Oryzias latipes: one gene and its partners. Each later gene encodes a partner of the first gene's protein in a complex. Links are inferred from orthologs where the notes say so. Each region holds a gene or a part of one and is shown in the gene's direction. Other genes may lie near its edges.

Evidence for each region. The genes of interacting proteins can lie anywhere in the genome.
Region 2: the proteins of rnaseh2b (region 1) and rnaseh2a are in contact, whole or in part, in a crystal structure (PDB 3PUF), measured with the Homo sapiens proteins. The link is inferred for Oryzias latipes from reciprocal best matches to the Homo sapiens genes RNASEH2B and RNASEH2A. Residues at the interface, in NP_078846.2 of Homo sapiens: His16, Phe18, Lys39, Asn42, Gly48, Ala49, Ile50, Val63, Lys64, Val65, Phe66, Lys67, His70, Phe74, Val79, His86, Phe87, Val183, Tyr211, Gly214, Leu215, Asp218, Tyr219; in NP_006388.2 of Homo sapiens: Val227, Phe228, Ile253, Trp254, Glu255, Ser284, His285, Tyr287, Phe288, Arg291, Gly292, Leu293, Glu294, Ser295, Ala296, Thr297, Ser298, Leu299.
Region 3: the proteins of rnaseh2b (region 1) and rnaseh2c are in contact, whole or in part, in a crystal structure (PDB 3PUF), measured with the Homo sapiens proteins. The link is inferred for Oryzias latipes from reciprocal best matches to the Homo sapiens genes RNASEH2B and RNASEH2C. Residues at the interface, in NP_078846.2 of Homo sapiens: Arg14, Gln15, His16, Val17, Phe18, Leu19, Val20, Ser21, Glu22, Leu24, Leu35, Met36, Phe37, Val38, Lys39, Leu52, Glu62, Lys64, Phe66, Glu68, His70, His71, Ser72, Trp73, Phe74, Ile75, Asn76, Gln77, Ser78, Val79; in NP_115569.2 of Homo sapiens: Ile9, His12, Arg13, Val14, His15, Leu16, Ser18, Ala27, Thr28, Leu29, His30, Leu31, Leu32, Pro33, Cys34, Glu35, Val36, Ala37, Val38, Asp39, Gly40, Pro41, Ala42, Pro43, Val44, Gly45, Phe48, Phe63, Val75, Pro77.

Annotation. Positions count from the first base shown.
Region 1 is NC_019879.2:9,576,013-9,581,873, reverse strand, and holds the end of rnaseh2b (ribonuclease H2 subunit B), read left to right. Parts: intron 1-2,149; coding exon 2,150-2,255; intron 2,256-2,328; coding exon 2,329-2,393; intron 2,394-2,465; coding exon 2,466-2,571; intron 2,572-2,753; coding exon 2,754-2,835; intron 2,836-2,912; coding exon 2,913-2,958; intron 2,959-4,240; coding exon 4,241-4,318; intron 4,319-4,542; coding exon 4,543-4,641; 3' UTR 4,642-4,700; downstream 4,701-5,861. UniProt on the Homo sapiens protein: Non catalytic subunit of RNase H2, an endonuclease that specifically degrades the RNA of RNA:DNA hybrids. Participates in DNA replication, possibly by mediating the removal of lagging-strand Okazaki fragment RNA primers during DNA replication.
Region 2 is NC_019859.2:10,613,749-10,619,982, reverse strand, and holds the start of rnaseh2a (ribonuclease H2 subunit A), read left to right. Parts: upstream 1-2,597; 5' UTR 2,598-2,896; coding exon 2,897-3,023; intron 3,024-3,104; coding exon 3,105-3,176; intron 3,177-4,538; coding exon 4,539-4,665; intron 4,666-4,741; coding exon 4,742-4,829; intron 4,830-6,234. UniProt on the Homo sapiens protein: Catalytic subunit of RNase HII, an endonuclease that specifically degrades the RNA of RNA:DNA hybrids. Participates in DNA replication, possibly by mediating the removal of lagging-strand Okazaki fragment RNA primers during DNA replication.
Region 3 is NC_019868.2:12,025,588-12,031,634, forward strand, and holds rnaseh2c (ribonuclease H2 subunit C), read left to right. Parts: upstream 1-2,410; 5' UTR 2,411-2,524; intron 2,525-3,493; coding exon 3,494-3,647; intron 3,648-3,929; coding exon 3,930-4,042; intron 4,043-4,174; coding exon 4,175-4,294; intron 4,295-4,656; coding exon 4,657-4,680; 3' UTR 4,681-4,894; downstream 4,895-6,047.

The DNA of each region.
Region 1 (5,861 bases):
TCGACTGCCCACAGCAGATCTGCAGACACTGAAGCTTCCTGGAGAATTACAGTCTGCTGTGTTCAGTCTATTGTCCACTTTCCCTCTAATTAATAATTTAAGTGACTGATCCTTTTCTTGTTTTGGTTCTTCAAGTTATATTTGTCTCCAAAGCAAAAAAAACAAAAATCACTTTGATGCTGTTGGTTTTGAGTAACTCTGAGTTTTTTATAAAGAAAAGACAAGATTCCACAGAGATTGATTGATGAGGTCAACAGCCAATCAGGATGCAGATCACAGTGCACCATAGAGAGTGAGAGAGAAAAATGCATGCAAAACGACACTGAAAAAAATGGCGAGGCTGCGAAAGAGGAACCGCGATATAGCGAGGGAACACTATTGCCGAAACACCCAGTTTGAAAATTCTGAATATTTTGTACATTTTTATGATTAATTATTTAAAAACCCTGATACTTTTAAGATGTTTAGACTTTTGTTAATGAAAACAAAAAATATATCCCATTGATCTAATTGTCCTTTGCTTATTAAAAAAAAGAAGATCTTTATTTTGGAAAAATACAAATTTACCAAAAATTTGGTGGATTTTTGTTACAATTTCTTATAAGAATATGTAAAACCAACAAGACTTTAACCCTTGTGCTGTCCTAGGCACTTTAACATTGGGAGTTGGGTCATCTAGACCCACTAGACAGTGCTCTGAACCTTTTTCCTTCAATGATTTGTGATCTTCACTGGTGTCCATGGATTACATGAAATCTTTCCATCTTTATCCACCTTTGTCATGGTAGAAATAACACGTCAATGTAAGGGTGGGGTCATCTAGGATAGCACAAGGGTTAAAATGACAAACGCAAAAAAATCCAAGAATTTTGAAGCAAAATTATTTCACTTTTTTATCCTCAAAAGAAGCATATTTCAAATATAATCCATGTTAAAGACCTTTAAAATAACTCAAACAGGGCAAACAAATGGTTAAAAAAGCAAGAAATTAGAAAAAATGGTAGCTCTAGTCCACTAAATCACTATCGAGCAAAAAGGAAGCCACATTTGATTGTAGTTCAGAGTCACTGTTGTCATGTGGGCCAAAATTCATCTACAGCAGACTGTTCTAAAACAGTTAAGTAAAGAAGTGCTTCCTGCTCAGATGAGTCCAACTGTGACATTTATGTAGTAATTTCTGTGCTAAACTGAGACCTTCCAGTGTGAAATCAGCCTTTAGTTTGAAGACCCACTCCGATCATCTTTTCATCTATTTTTTTTAAAATCATGATTATGCCGGGTTTTTTCTGCCAAAATCCAAAAACTTTGTTGTTTTTTAGAGCGGCAGTACTTCAGTAGAAATTCACCTTTGAGGTGTGGGTGGGAATGTTAGTATGGAGCAACCCCGCCCCCTCCCCCTCCCCGGAGAAATACAGGGATTTGATTAATTACACCTCAGAGATAAAAAAAGTTGTTTGAATTGAATTAAATTAAAAAATATACTCATAAAAGCAATTTTAATCTTAGCACATGAGAGCCCATGGTGACAGCGGTGCAACAGAAAAATATCAGAAATGGATTCTATGGTCCGCTTGGTTTGTGGTAAAATACACATTTTATTTTTAAGAAAAAAATGGGTCTGGGTTCTTATGGGTTAATTTTGTCTCTATATGTCCTCCATCCTAATAGAAATGCCACAAGCGTGTTGGAAGAGTTTTAAATAAAACATACTTTTTAACCCAACCATACGTACCTGCAGTATGTCACAACGTCACATCGTCTGTCTGGATTCCACAAAACTTACAGAAATATCTTTGTATATTGCTCAGATATACAAGTGTCCTGCTTTATGCTATTTTGTTTATTTTATTCAGAACACAGACAGTGGCAATAAAGTTGAATCTGATCTTAAATTGAGAGAACAAATATTTGAGCTGTTTGGAAATCTGCAGCACATCAAACTTAAAATCAGTTAATTTTCCAGGATAAAATGAGAAATTGCTGATATGTGATTTAGATTTTAAAATGAATATTTTCAGTTAAAAAATAAATCCTTTTGTGAAATTGGGATGAATTTGATGTATTTTCAGCTCGATGCGTCTCGTGTGTGTGTGTGCTGCTGTGCTGCAGGTGGATACAAACGATTGAATCCTTTATTATAATTCCTCAGGGCAAGTTTCAGCCGGTGGATCAAGTTGTTAAAGATGAAGACTTCCCTGCTTGCTCCAGGCTTCTCAGCTGCTCGTGTTCTTTTCTCCACATTGCAGAAGAGAAAGGTGAAGTTTGTATTGTTGCTGCGACTCAGGTTTATGCCACACACCTCACAAAATGTTGTTTTTGTCATTTAAGAGGTGGGGGGCTTAAAGTTTCACCGATACAGCCAAGAGAGGACCATGAACTGGTTAAAGAAAAAGGTGAAGAGTCAGACACGGGACCCTCAGTGTTTGGAAATCTAAGTGGAAAATGAGCATCCTTTTCTGTTGAAGGTGGAGAGAACAGCAGCGGCTCTGAAGACGAAAAATGTCTCTGTGGGAGAAGGAGTTAAATCCACAACATATATCAGAATCAAGTCAGAGTCTGAGGGCCGAGAAGGTATCTCCCCTTCAGTTCTCCTTTCTAATCTGTGTGGATTTTCACCAGTAGATGGCAGTAGAAGTGTGAACCTTTCAAATCATGAAAGAAAAACTTTTTTTTTTTAGCTCTCAGCAAAAAAGTTGAGAGCATGAAGGATTTTTCAGGATGAAAATGTATTTGTTTCTTTTTTTGTTGGACAGAAGACTATCTACGCTACGCTCATGGCCTGATATCAGAGTACATTAGTGAAGCGCTGAGCAAAGCCCTCCTCAAGCATTTGGGGTAAAAGAAGCATTTTAAACATCACCGTCGGTAACAAATGTGTTTTAACGCTGAACATGTTTGTTGTTGCACTTTAGGTTACCTGAGCTCACAAGTCCAAAGGAGGCGGAGCCTCCAGCTAAGGTATGATGGTGTGTAGTAAGTGTTGCTGGTTTTGCTCTGCATGCTGCTCTAACATTGCTGCAGGCCTCATAGGGACAATCCCCGTCTGCCTGCTTGCGCTTTGAAATGGTGGTGCTTTGGGCTGCAGCTTGAGGTTCATGCAGTCCTGTCTCTGGCTACGTTCACACTGCAGGGCTCAATGCTCAATTCCAATTTTTTTGAAAAAATCCGATTTTTTTTTTTGCAAGGCCGTTCACATTTCCAATTAAATGCGAACTTTTGTGATCTCCTGTGTGAACGTGAAATGACCCAGAAGTGACCCACATGCACAGAAGAGTACACAACCGTGAATGGCGTCACTCGTTGTTTGCTGAAGTAGCTAATGTTAAAAATGGATGTCAACAACAGTGTTGTCAACAGCGGAGCTCTTTTTGCATTATTACATTTATTTTCACAAAGGAGCCAGCACAATTACAATCTTCTCATTTTGAGAAGGCATTTGAGCCAGGATCGTCTGTAACCACTGTTGTGGAATGGGGATGTGTATGTGCTGGGACCGCGTGTGTGTGTGTCTGTGTGCGCGTGTGTGTGTGTAAGAGAGAGGAAAAGAGCGTGTGCAGCGAGGTAGAGAATGAGTGGGGGGGGGCAGTGGGGGCGCGCATTCATGTTGTGTGATACGAAGGAAGGAGAACGGTAATAAAAGAAGGCTCCCCCCAGCAGAAATGCCATTGACTCTTTATTAACCCGCTCTTGAGAATCTTAAGGTCCGAACGAGGAAGTGAACCCCGAAGGAGGATCCGCTTTCTGTCCCCCGCACTTCTGACCACGGTTGGACAGGGAAAAGAAGTCATGGCGGGAAAGGTTCAACACCACGCTCTGCCATTTCGCTGGAAATTTTTTTCAAAAACCGTCCGGTTGCGATAAGAGCCTTGAGTTTGGCCTGAATAGAGCTGTCACCCCAAATATGAATCCAATCGGTGACCTCGCTTCCCTTCCACTGACTGGTCTCAGCAGCATCGTCCGCCATGGTTGATGTTTATGATGACGTTTGTAACGTATCAGTGACGTACGGGTCGGATTCATGTGGCCTGGCCAGTTAGACGGTGGTGGCATTTGAAAAGATCGGATACGTATCGGATTCAGAACCACATACCCAAGTGGCCTAGGTCACATTTGAAAAGATCAGATACACGTCGCATAGGGGCAAAAAAAGCGGAATTGGGTCGTTTCAGCCTGCAGTGTGAACGTAGCCTCTGTGGCGCTCTTTATCATGAAAAGCATGTCTCACTTCCTCATTTGGCAGAAACGGAAACTTTCAGACAAACCGGTGGAGGCGGGAGAGGACTACACCAAATTCAACAGTGCAGACTTTGCAAGGAAAGTGAGTGAATGCGGAGCAGTTTGATTGAATGAAGGAAATCTTACAAATACTGATTCAGTTGTGCCTGCTTACTGCTTTCTTTAAGCTTTTGGTCAAAACTTTTTCTAAAAAAAACAATATTTACAGTTTATTACTAAACATGACTTTTTTTTCTGACTAATTCAAAAAAGCTACGTATATTTTACCAATTGTTTTATTTGTATTTTTTCCTTTTCTTTTTAAAGCCTCCCAAAAAGATGACAGCCGCTCAGAAAACTCTGGCCAAAGTGGACAAGAGCGGCATGAAGTCGATGTCATCCTTCTTCAGCCCAAAATCTAAATAAAGGAATTGTCTTCCCTTTTAATTTGTACATGCTGTTTGTAATAAAAGAAAGGAAATATTTCTGTTGTGGTGTTTTTTTATTTGTGATACTTAAAGGATCCATAAAGTTGATTTTTGACTGTTGTTTTTTTTTTTGAGTAAATCGCCAACATTCATTCATTCATTCATTCATCTTCTTGACCGTTTTTCCCTTTCGGGGTCACGGGGGTTGCCGGGGCCTATCCCGGCCACTTGGGCGTAGGCAAGGGATACCCTGGACTGGTCGCCAGTCTGTCGCCAACATTTATTTCAAACTAAATTGAAAGTCCCAGTCCAATCATCTTTTAAGATAAAAGCGTTCCCAGTGGTATTTTAATTAATGATGCCATTTTTAGCAGACATTCATAAAACCAGTGTTTTCTGGGACATGAACATGTTAAAAGCACAATTTTCGTCACAGTCTGGCCTTAAATCTGATATTTAGTTGGACTGCTTAATTGTGTTTTTCCTCAGGATTTCATTTGGCTGTTATGTCAAAGTTGGGCTACAACTCAAATGATTTAGCATTACCTAACCGAAGAGGCTTCCTTTCTCTGCCCTGAAGTGCAGAATGCTGTACTGCAAAATGAAAAGCCTCCACTGGGGGAGTAGAAAGGAAAAACACTGTCTTTGGTTTGCATTTTAATTACATTTAATGAAATCATGAGGAAAAACAGGAGAAAATAGATTGAAAGTAAGACATAAGTGCACTTCAGTACAAAGTTCTTTTTTCTGTTAGTGTTAAGAGCTCAAAGTCATTTTTTAATGCATCTTACACTTAAAAAACAAGAGTTTAAACACAAACGGCATTGCCAGATGCCACAGAGGTCTTCAGGTTAATGCAACAAAACTCTAAAGTTGAACTCTGATTAAATTAAGCAAGATTGGTTGTAATGGAGGCTCTGGAGTCGGAGGCGCTCAGATCAGTTAAGCCGTGAATTCTGCCAGTAGAATAAAACCCTTTTGTGCGAAGGGCTGAGCGCTTAAATGGAAGCCATTTTTGTGTTTTACAGTTGGCATTGACACTTTGAAGCAGAGGAGACGCTCAGGTTGAAAACTTTTAACTGTAATCGGGCAGAACTACAGAGCTGCCACAGTTTTGAACGTTTCCCTTAAATTGTTCAGCTCAAAAAGCCCTTTGACTGGAAGCATCCTTTCTTTTTTCTTTGTGCAGCATTTTCAAACCTCATGCCGTCCTTGTTA
Region 2 (6,234 bases), on another chromosome or scaffold:
CTATTGTAAAAGCATTCCCAGTGGTCCTTTAATAATAATTATGACCTTTTAGCCAAAATCCCAAAACCTGTGCCGCTTTCTATGACATTGTTTCTGCAAAGCGGCAGGAGTTTAGGAGAAACTTGCCTCTACATTGTGGGCGGAAATGTTGGTAGAGAGTAAGTCTGTTCCCTTCCCATCATCCACCTATTAACACGCTTTCACACCCCCAACTTAGAATAAAACTTAGAATGGCGAGCAATATTGGAGCTATCCAGCGGTAACAGTTTTGAGCCAGATGCCAGCTGGGATGAGGAGGACAAAGACTTTTTTGTTTGCAAGTTGATGCATCGGAATGGAGTGGAGCAAGGAGCTTGGCACAGAACAACATCAAAAATATAAATGTCACAGTTTCTCCTAGGACTAAACTTGGTCACATTTAACTGGTTCATAACAAAAACAACATAAACTTATTGAATTGTGACGCTAACCCAGTAGATTTTGGCTTGGTTCTCAAATCTGTTAAAAAATTAAAGGTCAGAAAAGTAAAGTTAAGGCCTGTTCACACCGGGACGAATTTCGCCGGCGATTTTCGCCGACGTTTAACGCCTCGTGACTAAACAAAGGGCACCAACGAGAGTGTGCACACCGACGCGAAAAAACGCCAGGCGTTAAAGCGTCAAAAAAAAAAACGCCTCGGGTTCGTTTTTTTTTTTCGACGCGTCGCGTCGAAATCTACTCGACCAATGAGAATGGCGCTTTTGCTCACGTGTCTGGAGCTTCTGAAGTTACAGTAAAACACAACTTGGGGGCGCTCAAACACAAAACTGCCTTGCTGAGCACACATACCAGCGAAGAAGATAGACGCCAAGTAGCGTCTACACACAGCCGCGAAGCAATAATGACGGACATTCTAAAATATCCCCGAACCAAGCACCAGTTGGAGCTACTGGTGCTTGAAATATTCATGTTTTCTTTGTTTGATTCTGACAAGCGTGTAAATACTTGCTCTCTTCTTCTGAGTGAAAAGCGACTTTCAGAAGCGTAAAGTTGCGCAGCGCCACCTTGTGTACAGGAGTATTTCTGTTTTACATTAAGCGCCATCTAATGTCAGGGAATGAAATTGCATGTTCACTCCACTCATCGTCAGCGAAAATCGCCTGGGTGTGAACACAAAAAACGTGGCGAAAAACGCTGGCGAATAACGCCTGGCGAATATTCGTCCCGGTGTGTACGGGCCTTCAGGTTGTGACAGTGGGGTAGAGGTCAGCACTCTTGCATCACAGAGGTCCCTGGTTTGAATTCCAGTGGGTCCCTTCTATGTTGAGTTTGCATGTTCGTCCTGTCCGTGCATAGATATTCTCCAGGCACTCCGGCTTCCTCCTGTAGTCTAAACTATGCTAAGGAACTAAGTTCCTTTGTGACTCCAAATAGCCACTAGGTGTGAATGTGAACGCTGTTCATCTCTGTGTGAATCATCCTGGCTTCACCAGGAAGTAGCTGCGATTACCTCTGGAAACCCCAAAAGTGGACCAAGTGGGTTTAGAAAGTGGATAGATGGAAAAGGAAAGTTAAAAGGTGTAGCAAATTTTATGGTGCACAAATATAAAGTTTTGAGAGCAGGAGAACTCCTCTTTTTAAATGCTTCCCCATAATTGTTTGAACCTCTGCACATAAAATGAAAAATATAGCAAACTGTTAAAAGACTGTTTTGGTCTTTTTTGCCCAATGGAGTCTTTACAATGTTTTTGTGTTTTTGTCTTATTATTAGGATTTTTATCAAGCTGATTTTTCTGCCTAATGTTCCTGCTGCAAGCCTGCAGAGATTGAGTCCTCCTGTCTGCAAGCAGATATATTGCAGACTCAAACCACAGACAGGCTGCCAGTCTTCAGCAGTGCCAAACTGAGCCACAAAACCATACACCCTCCCAGCCACGGGCAATTTAAAATCAACAAATAAGCTAACATGCACAGTGTGAACTTAGAGGGAGGCAGATTTAGCCAGAAAGCAGCTAAATATGTACAGGGAAAAGTTTCTTATTCTTTCAAAACATTTTTTAACCACCTCAACACGTCTTACGATATTCCAATTCACACAAAATTAGATTTCCGTATAATCTTTAGATCATAACTTGCTTATCCTTTCAGTTGTAGCTGTTTTTGTTTTATTTATTTTTGCTCTGTTTCTCCATGTAACACTGAACTCTAAAATTGCATGAAGTGGTATAGTACACCAAAATATATTTTATTTTTGCACAACTGTTGTCACATTTCCAGTGTTGTTATTTATTTATTCGTTAATTTATTTGTAGTTTTAGAATAGAATAGAATAGAATAGAAAATAATAGAATAGAGTTTATCGATCCACAAAGGGGAAATTGCCTTGTTACTGTAGCTCTATTAAAAATAACAGATATGTAATGAACATTGACTGTATACTTTAAAAAATGTTTAACCTTTCATAGCTATTTGTTTATGTATTTATTGGGATTCTTTTTCTACTTTTGTTTTCAGATTTGTTTGTTGCTGAATCAAAATGTTTAAAATCATTTTGACTGCAGGTCTGTCTCCAGTCCAGCAGGTGGCGGCACGTCCTTTTGAAGCCACCGGATAAACAAATTATTTTTTGACGTCATATCCGCGGCGCCAAACCTGCTCCAAAGAAAACAAGTTAGAACGTTGAATCTTCCTTCTATATCCGTATTTCATCTAAAGCGTTTTACTGTGAGAACCGCGACTCCTGCGTTCTTATTGTACTGATAAAACAAACTCTACAGTTCGACCACAGAAGAAGCAGTTAGCCGCTAGCTAGTAGTTGCGTTCAGTAATCGTATCAGGAAAGACCATTCGCTTAGAATTTGTAGAATTCATCGTGTGGGTTTGTAGTTTAGTTTGAAAACTCTCGCCGTGGGTAGTCATGGACCTGGGTCCGTTTGAAGCAGATAACACTGTCAGCTGCCGGCTTTCCTCCCAGATCCCTGACATCTGCAGGACGGAGGACTGCTGTCTGGGGATTGACGAGGCGGGCAGGGGGCCTGTGCTGGGTATGCTAGCTTGTCATTAAAGTTTTAGGAAGGTATGTTTACTTGTGTGCGTTTTATCACAGTGCTCTTGTTTTCATCTAGGACCCATGGTGTATGGAATATGTTTCTGTCCAGTGTCTAAAAAACAGGAGCTGAAGGACTTGAAAGTTGCAGGTACTACTGGTTCTTCTGTTACATTGGCGGTCTAGGTGTGTTCACACCTGTACAACGGTGTTGACCATTATTTCCCCTTGTCCTCAGTCGTCCCCTCCTTTCAGATTAAGAGCCAGGGTTTCATCCTTGGAATTATTTAATCCTTCCAGTTCCACTTGAACAACAACCAGTTTTCATATATTTTCTTAACAAAATCAAATATATTTGCCCATCTCATTCATATTCTGCCCCAGCTCTTATCTTTAGTTGTACCACTTCCTGTACAAACTCCTGCAACATTGTGGTCTTCAAGGCCTTTCGGCAAATCCACTTAGGGAATCAGCTTTAACTGGTTTAACAAATGGTTAGACAGAGTGATTGACACCGGATGCCCTTCCTGACCCCCTGTATTCTATCCGTACTGGGAACTGGAACAAGGGGACCCAGACTTCGTGGTTACATAGTTGGGCAGCAGCACAAACGGTCTTGCCCAGTGACTTACACCGGGTAAAGTACATTGCACACCCTGGGAATCGAACCTAATTGAAGTTTCGTTTTTGGGTTTTGGCTAAAAAGGGCATAATTATAACTAAAAGACCACTGGGAACGCTTTTACAATGGGTCAAAAGATTGGAGTGGGACTTTCATATATTAACATATATCTCTTTTGTTTGTATTTAGTATTTTTCTTTTTGATTGCTTGAAATAAATCGATTCCTCTGCTTCTCCTGTCTGGGACTCTAATCCATCTTGCAGAGTTAGATATGTTTATTCTTCTCTAAGAATTGTGGTACATCACCTGTCCGTCCTGGGGGAGGATCCCTCCTTCATATGGACACCCCTGAGTCGTCTTCTTCTTTTTTCCCCGGAATCTGTTTTTTTCCCCTGGAATTTTTCCTTACAGTGAAGGAGGGTCTAAAGGGAGTGGTGCCCAGTTTAGTTTAGTCTGTTTAGTTAAGCCAATACCTATTGAATTCTATGACTTTATGTTCTTTGTGATTCATGTTTATTACATGAAGTGCCCGTTTGAAGCCCATTGAGATGAATATTGTTGTAATATTGGGCTATATAAGTAAGTAAAATTGACTTGAATCTTGTAACAAAATAAAATGCAGACTCTCTTCTTGACTTTTAACAGTTCTAAGTATAGAACACAATGCTTAGATGAATTTACATGTTCCTCTGCGTTTATTTAATGCCCACATTTAATAATAATAATAATAAATTTTATTTAGAATGCGCTTTACATTTTAGATAAAATCCCAAAGCGCTATTTCACCAGGTTTTCCTTCTTTCTTCTAATCAAGTATGCACAACTTTCTTGACCATTTCGAAAAATGTTTGAACGTTTCCCCCATTTTTTAACTTTGCCCTTATTTCCAGATTCAAAGACGCTGACAGAAGAAGAAAGAGAAAGACTTTTCCACAACCTGGATGAAGCCAAAAGTTATGTTGGCTGGGCTTTGCATGTTCTTTCACCCAACACCATCTCCACTAGTATGTTACAAAGGTAAGGCGTGTCCAGATCTCATGGTCATTGTTCAGTGATTCACAAACCGTAGCTTCATGTTTGCTTTTACTTATAGGACAAAATACAACCTGAATGCGCTCTCACACGATACCGCCATTGGGCTAATACAGTACGCCCTGGACAGTGGAGTGCAGCTTAAAGAGGTACGCCACACTATCGTTTTATGTAAATAAAAGCGATCTTTTAATTAAGATTATGTCTTAATTATGTCTGTATGATTATGTCTGTAAATAGCTTTTTAAACTATAATACCTTGATGTCTGTATTTATGCTACATTTTGTTGTTCTTGCTTTTTTTTTTTTTTTTACTTAATTCTAAGTCTTTTTTTTCCCTCTGCTCTCAGTTGCTATGGTGACAAACAAATTTCCCACGTGTGGTATCAATAAAGTATCTCTGATTCTGATTCTGATGTCGTTTTCAGCCAAAAGAAGAAAAAAAAGACATAGTTTCTGAAGAAGAGTAGTAGTTCATTAACCCTTGTGCTATCTTAGATGACCCCACCCTTACTTTGACGTGTTCTTCCTACCATGACAAAGGTGGATAAAGGTGGAAAGATTTCATGTAATCCATGGACACCAGTGAAGATCACACATAATTAAAGAAAAAATGCTCAGCGCACTGTCTAGTGGGTCTAGATGACTCAACTCCCAATGTTGGAATGCCTAGGATAGCACAAGGGTTACAAAATTGCCTCTGAGTGGTGGGTGGGACGGTTGGCACGGTTCAACCATGGCCCCCTTCCCCTCCCCATTGGTGAGAACGCAAAGCAATTTTCTATTTCACAAAACACTTTTTTTTTATCTGGTCCTAATTCACAACAATTTAGATACAGAAGAACAATCTGGAGCTCAAATTTCTTTATACATGTCCTCGTCAGAAAAAAATGCTACAAGAACATGTAAAGAACACCATTTTCATCGGAGTCTGTGTTTAAAGTAGGGCTATACAACAATAATCTGTATATGTTTTGAAGATATTCATATCAATCTGACATAGTTCACATACTGTAAAATTGTAAACAGGATAAGCTTCAACAAAAATATGCAGATCAATAACCTTGTAAAGGCCCTAAATTGGCTCATTGCAAAAATGAATGTTCTGCCTCTTCTGGAGGGTGTTTCCGTTTCGCCACCGTTACACTTTATTTTTGAAAATTGCAGCAAAAAACTGCATTAGACCGCAAATAGTTACTTAAAAAAGGTTTAAGTTTAAAGAGTTTGAAAAATTCCTGCCTGTGAGTTTATACAGCTGTTAGCTATTAGCTGTCCTATGGGAAATTCCATCATATGTTAGCATCAAGCAAGCAGACTATGGGTTTTCACAAAAGGAAAGGCATAAAAGATCGATTTCTACGTTTAGGGATCAATTATTAATTTATTTATCTCGATTTTATCAACCCAGCCCCACTTTAAAGCACTTACGCTTTGTGTTTTTGTCAGGTTTGGTTTTTTTCTTTTGCGACATTGTCACTTATTTTGTGGTAGATGTGCTTCCAGTCACTCTTCTTCTTCTCCACCCTCACTTGCTCCACCCCTCCTCTGTCTTGT
Region 3 (6,047 bases), on another chromosome or scaffold:
CTGTGACTATATTGTTCATGTCTAGAAGATAAAAAAAATAACTTGCTTTTAGACATCTTAATGTAGCATAAAACTGATCCTATACTTCTGTGAAATCCTTTTGTCCAATTTTCATTTTATTTTGACATTTAACGAACTAGAAATCAAAATTAAATTTGCCGTTTTGTAAAGTTAACTATAAAAAGAATTGTATCTAGCAAGTCTTTCCCTTAATATTTGACGTTTCTGTTGAGCGGTGTGTCTTCTGCTGTTAAAAACTCACCCCTTGTTTTCTGTTTTCCAAAGAAGAACGGTTAGGAAATCACTCCCTGAAGATCCTCGTCCCGGATGATGTTGGGGAATTGCAGACAGAACTTCCCTTTAACTTACTTAGCGCTGCCGTCTTTGCAGCTACCATTGGACAAAGTTAAGTCCATCCCCTCTGAACACAGTAGCTGGAACCAACTGGAGTACAAGTATAAAAAAAGAAAGTTAGAAGAAAGCTTGGGAACTGCGTCACTATCAGTGTTGCTGTTGGTGGCTACATGTGTTTGCTTCAGAAAATCCCACTAACTCAGATTTTTCCCTCCAGTTTATCAAATGTTTTTATCATGGCAAATCATGAAAGTGGTTAAATCATTACTTAAAATGTGCGGGTAAATGCATTGGAAAAGTCATTACCAGATGAAGCTAGTAAACTGATTGTTGTTAAACTTAATTGCAAAATGTTAGAAATGATGCTAAGACTATTCGTGCTTGCTGTGTGAAAAAAAAGTCTACTTAAAAACTCAAATATTCTACTTTCCTTCACATTACTGGCAAGTAAACAACAAATGTAAAAAACATTACTGAAGGCAATAAAGCAATTTGCCTTTAGACACATAACATTTCAAATGTCTCTTTTCAGGCTCACAGAAATCTTTTAGTTCTTATTTTTTTCCCCTTTTCTTCCAAGAAAAAAGAATCATATCATGTCTATCAGAATCTTTGTATTTTGAATGCACTGCTCTAATGAGGTTTTTCCACAAATTCAAAGTCAAAGAGCCGTGGAGGTCATGGTGAAGGCATGTGACATTGTTGAGCCAGTTCAATTTTTGAGATTCATAGGGATGATTATTTTCACAAAATACTTTTTTTATGATCATTTGACTTTTCACATCAAGTCTTGCTTCAATGAGGTCATCTGAACCTTTTCTTCCACAATTATCCATTTTTGGTTCCAGTAGCTGTGACAGAAAGCTGTGTTGTGTGATTGCCAGAAATACATTTCCAGAAAAGAGATATTTAAATTTTATTTATAAAAAAACGTGTCTATATGAAATGTTCCTGTGTAGATTTGAGCAGTGAGTTTTTGTTTTTTTTGGTCTTTTTAAGGGCATGTGTAAAAGACTGGTAAGCTGACCTGGTTGTCTTCATCCCATGGTGGCTGGAATAGGCTCCAGGGGCCCATGACCCTGTCAGGACAAAACAGGTACTGATAATCATCCAATCTAATCAACAAATCAACCAATAACATTTTTTTTATTAAACATCTCAGAGAAGTTCATCATTGTATACTTTCCTTTTCATTTATGAACCACCAGAGCATCCGTGTAAGTGTTTTATGTTCAAACGTCTTTGTGATCAGGTGGACATTTTACAGCTGAAGAGTCAAAAAAGGAAAATTCTAGCAGCAAACATGGATTTTCCCTTCTCCCCATCTAATAGTTGAGTAAACTTTGCTTCAATTAAATGGTCTTGTAGCAAATCTCTCATTAAAGAATACATTAATAAAGAAATCTAAGCTCAAAATTACATTTCTGAGTTGTCTTATTTAATTTTTTGCGCATCAGGATCAGACAAAAATTACCATTGGAAAACTTCTAGTTGGAATGTAAAAGCTACACTTGGCAGGTCACTGGCTCCCTGCTCTGCTCCTTTCTGATGGATCCATTTGTAAACAACTTGATACACATACGTCTTTGTTTTCCTTGTCTGAACTGGCGTCTGGCTCAAAACTGTATGACTGGATGGCTCCAATATTTTAAAATAGAACACAATATTTGTGATGTTTAGATTTTTCAAACTCCTAAATGACATTTTTCTATTAATTTGAGTATTTAATTGTATGTTTTTATAGTTCTGCATGCCAGTTAAACTAGTCGTAAGAAAATACACCAAAAAGAATACAATGAAACAGATTTTATTGATTTTTCAAACTTAAATTAAAGGCCTTGGAAATAAGTCAGAATAGTTTTAAACAACAGTTTTATGTTATATAAGATATTAAACACGCAAATTATTGAACGTTTGATATGAATGAATTCAAATATCAAGTCTGAAGGCGAAAACACGAGGCAAAGCATTAAAACAAAACAGCTGAAGTAGAGCAGAACAGTAACCACCAGGGGGAGACATCTGTTCGCAAAGGAGAAAAAACCCGCCAAAACAGAATTCAGCGTAGAAGAAGTGACATTCACCGTCCAATCACGAACGGCTCCCTAAACCTACCCGGAAGATCAACTTTTCATGTCACACTCTTATATGCAATACAGTCGCCATAAAGGTACTGGTAATCTTATCGTTTCTTTGTCCACTCCGGATTAAATGCTGCAAACAGTCACTGTTATTAAAAGCGTTTAACTGCAGGAGCGTCGAATACTGTTCGATTAAATGTATTGGTGAAAAGCTTTAGACACAAAGGTTCAAACACACTTCTCCAAAAACACTGCTTCACACATATTTAATTTAAGAGCACGCGCATTTTTTTACTGCTAAATTTAAGTGCGTATATCATATTTTCCCGTAATAATTAAATATATACTTAATAAGTATGAACTTAATGGTCGAAATAAGGTAAAACAACTATGGTCTTAAATTAAGGCAAAATGGTTGTAAAGGCTTTAAATACATCAAATAATACTCTAAATCTTAATGAATTAAATTTTTAGAGCAATTTACCAGGATTTTATCAGCTAATTAGGAGGTTATAGATACTGTACAAGAAGAGGTGCATCTTGATTGATCATTTCTTTATGTAAATTAATTTCATTCATTAAATAATTTTTAATTATTTATGTTTTAAAAATGCAAATGGTACTTGACTAAGCAGACACTATTCATTAGAGATAAAATAAGTCATAATGAAGGAAATAAAGTGAAATGATATAAAAACCCTGCAAAATCTGACATTAAACTACCCTCTTAGAATCAGAAGTACATAATTTATCCCACACCGGGGAAATTTGTGTGTTACTGTAGCAGTAAACATATGAGAAAATGGTATAATATAAAAACAATAATTAAAAAAAAAATGTAGCAGAAATGTAAACAAATAAGGCGGTATAACATTAACTACGACTTGCTGTGGCAAGTTTATTTTAATGTGATAATATTTTCAAAGCTTATAGCTTTTAAATAGATGCCCGTGTAATTGTTAATGATTGTAGAAAAAGAAGGTAAAGGTTACTAATAAAGGTATTTTGAGTGGATGCATAAATATGTCTTTTTTTCTTTCTTGTTACGTTGCTGCAAGATGTCCTGTCACTCCAGCGTCACTCATCTCCACGTGTCTCCTGTGGGACAGGCAGAGCGAGTCCCGGTCCATCTCCTCCCTTGTGAGATTGAACACAATGGGCCTGCCCAGGTCTCACAGTACTTTACTGCAACCATGAAAGATCACAAAGGAGGTACTTGGAATTTTGTCTGAAATCTAAAACCTCTAAGACCTGTAAACACTCCTGAAGTAAGGGGCACTAGCAAAGCCACGACAGGATTGCAAAACAAAGAGAAATGACACCAAAATTATGTCCAGTAGCAATTTTTACTGGTTTGCAGAAAACTATCTTGCGCAATATTGTTTTCTGATTTTTATGTATTTTTTACAATGAGTGATTGTGGGATTTTAAAACAGCAAATACCGTAAATAGCTGCATTTAGCATTGTAAATATAATGGACTTTCTTATAACAGTCAAGGCCGTCTCATTCAGAGGACGCGGGCTGAAAGGTCAGGAGATCTGCTGTCCAGCAGGATACACAGGCCTGGTACTTAAAGACACCAACAAGCCTGGCTCTGACCAGGAGGTAAGCACCTCCCATGACATGTTTCAGAACTAAAAAAGGAATACTGTCACAAGCTGAAAAATGTTTTTTCATGCTGTGGCATGAAGCATAGGTCTAACGATTCTGATGCTTCAATGACTTTGTATCTCTCAGGACAGGATAGTTAGAGTCTCCTCTGTGTTTGATAAACTGACCTACTGGAATCTGGACAATCCTCCAACCTCTGATGACACTGTGGTGATGGCCATGGATTGGCCGGAACTTGCTGAGGCGGTAAGAACATGTCGCAGTTGACCTCAAATCTATAGTTATACCAATCTGCTCCTTACAATAAATCACTGTGATCAAAAACAAACTAAAGAAAATGCATTCTAGTGAAATGTTTTTTTAGTTTTCCTCTTTTTTTATGCTCAAAATCAGTCCCAGCGAGTTTTTCTGTAAATATCTTCTAGGGCACACATGCTGCTTTAGACTTCAATCATGAGTACACAAATATATTTAGCAAACATTAACATTTTAAATAAAATGTAATCATTTTAGTAAATATATCAAATTTAACTCATGTTTTTTTGTTTCTCATTTTCTGTCCAACTGGAGGATCACTTGCATTTGCTGATTCTTTGTCTTTTTTCCAGATACACGAGCCAATAGACGAGTGACGTGATGGAAATACTATTTTAATGGGCCGGCAGACAAATGTCATATTGACATGTGAAATGCACCTTTTATCCCACATGTTTTTCAACCACCAACCTTATAAAACGCTCTGCTATGGCAGAGCGATCAGTTACATAGAGCAGTGTTAACGAAATGATACCTGAATGAGGTTTGTGTTTGTTTGTACATAAATAAAAAACGTAAAGACTTGCAAAAGTGAAATGTTTGATCCTCTGTAACACAACTAACTTTTACATGTTTAACTGGACGGCGTTTATTCACAAGATAACACTGGTAGCCATGAAAGCATTACTGTAACATTGTGTCATAAACACAAAGTCCTATAAGATGAAAAATGATTGGCTTTGACTTGACACATTTCACAGAACGAAGCCTACAACATGGAAACTATTGACACTGTGGTTCTGTCAAAAAGTTTGAGAACAAAAATTGAAAGAAAAAGAAACAGCCTGGATACATGTAAACCATGAGGGGAGTCATTATGAAGGAACTATTTGGAATTTAGTAAAAAGAAATTCCATCCATCCACTTTCCAAAACCGCTTTGCTCCTGTTGGGTTCAGGAGGTTGCTAGAGTCTAACCTGCAGTATAATTACACCTAAAGAACAATTTGGAGTCACCAATAAAGCTATGAGGCATTTTTTTGGACTGTGGGAGGAAGCTGGAGTGCTTAGAGAAAACTCCACACAGAAAAATCCCAGCTGGGCTTTGAACTAAAGCCGTCTCACTGTGAGGAGAAGAGTGCTAACCACTACACCCCCCAACATTCCCTTTATTGAGTGATTGTACTGCACGTTAAAAAAGAGGAATAATCTCTACACCAACACTTCATTAGACTGATAAAACAAGTCAAAGGGCCCAGGTTAGTTAGGTACACATAGAACATCACATACAGTTAATCCAGTACAGAAATTGATGGATGAAAATCTAAACCCCCACCATCTCACTCACTTAAAAACCACAAAGCATTTACTTGTTTTAGTTTCATCTTGTAGAAGTAACAGTACAACATTGAAGGGATGTCATCAGTGAAACTTTGGCAGACATTCACACTGACAGGACAAACAGTCTCCTCTAACTGGTGACAGTAACTATTGAATCATCTACAAAGACAGGTTGTTTTTTGTATTACAAATCTAAACTTTAAAACATGTCCAAAAATATTACAAAACAATCGCACAACAGTACAAGTATCAAATCAGGTTCTGACAGATGACATTCAAATATGTAAGTACAGTGTAATAAATGATAAATAAATGCTTTTCTGTGCTTGTTTTCATTAGATTAGAAACCAGAGTGTCTGCAGTGTTTAACTATATTCTCTACATGATACAAAATAAAAAATTAG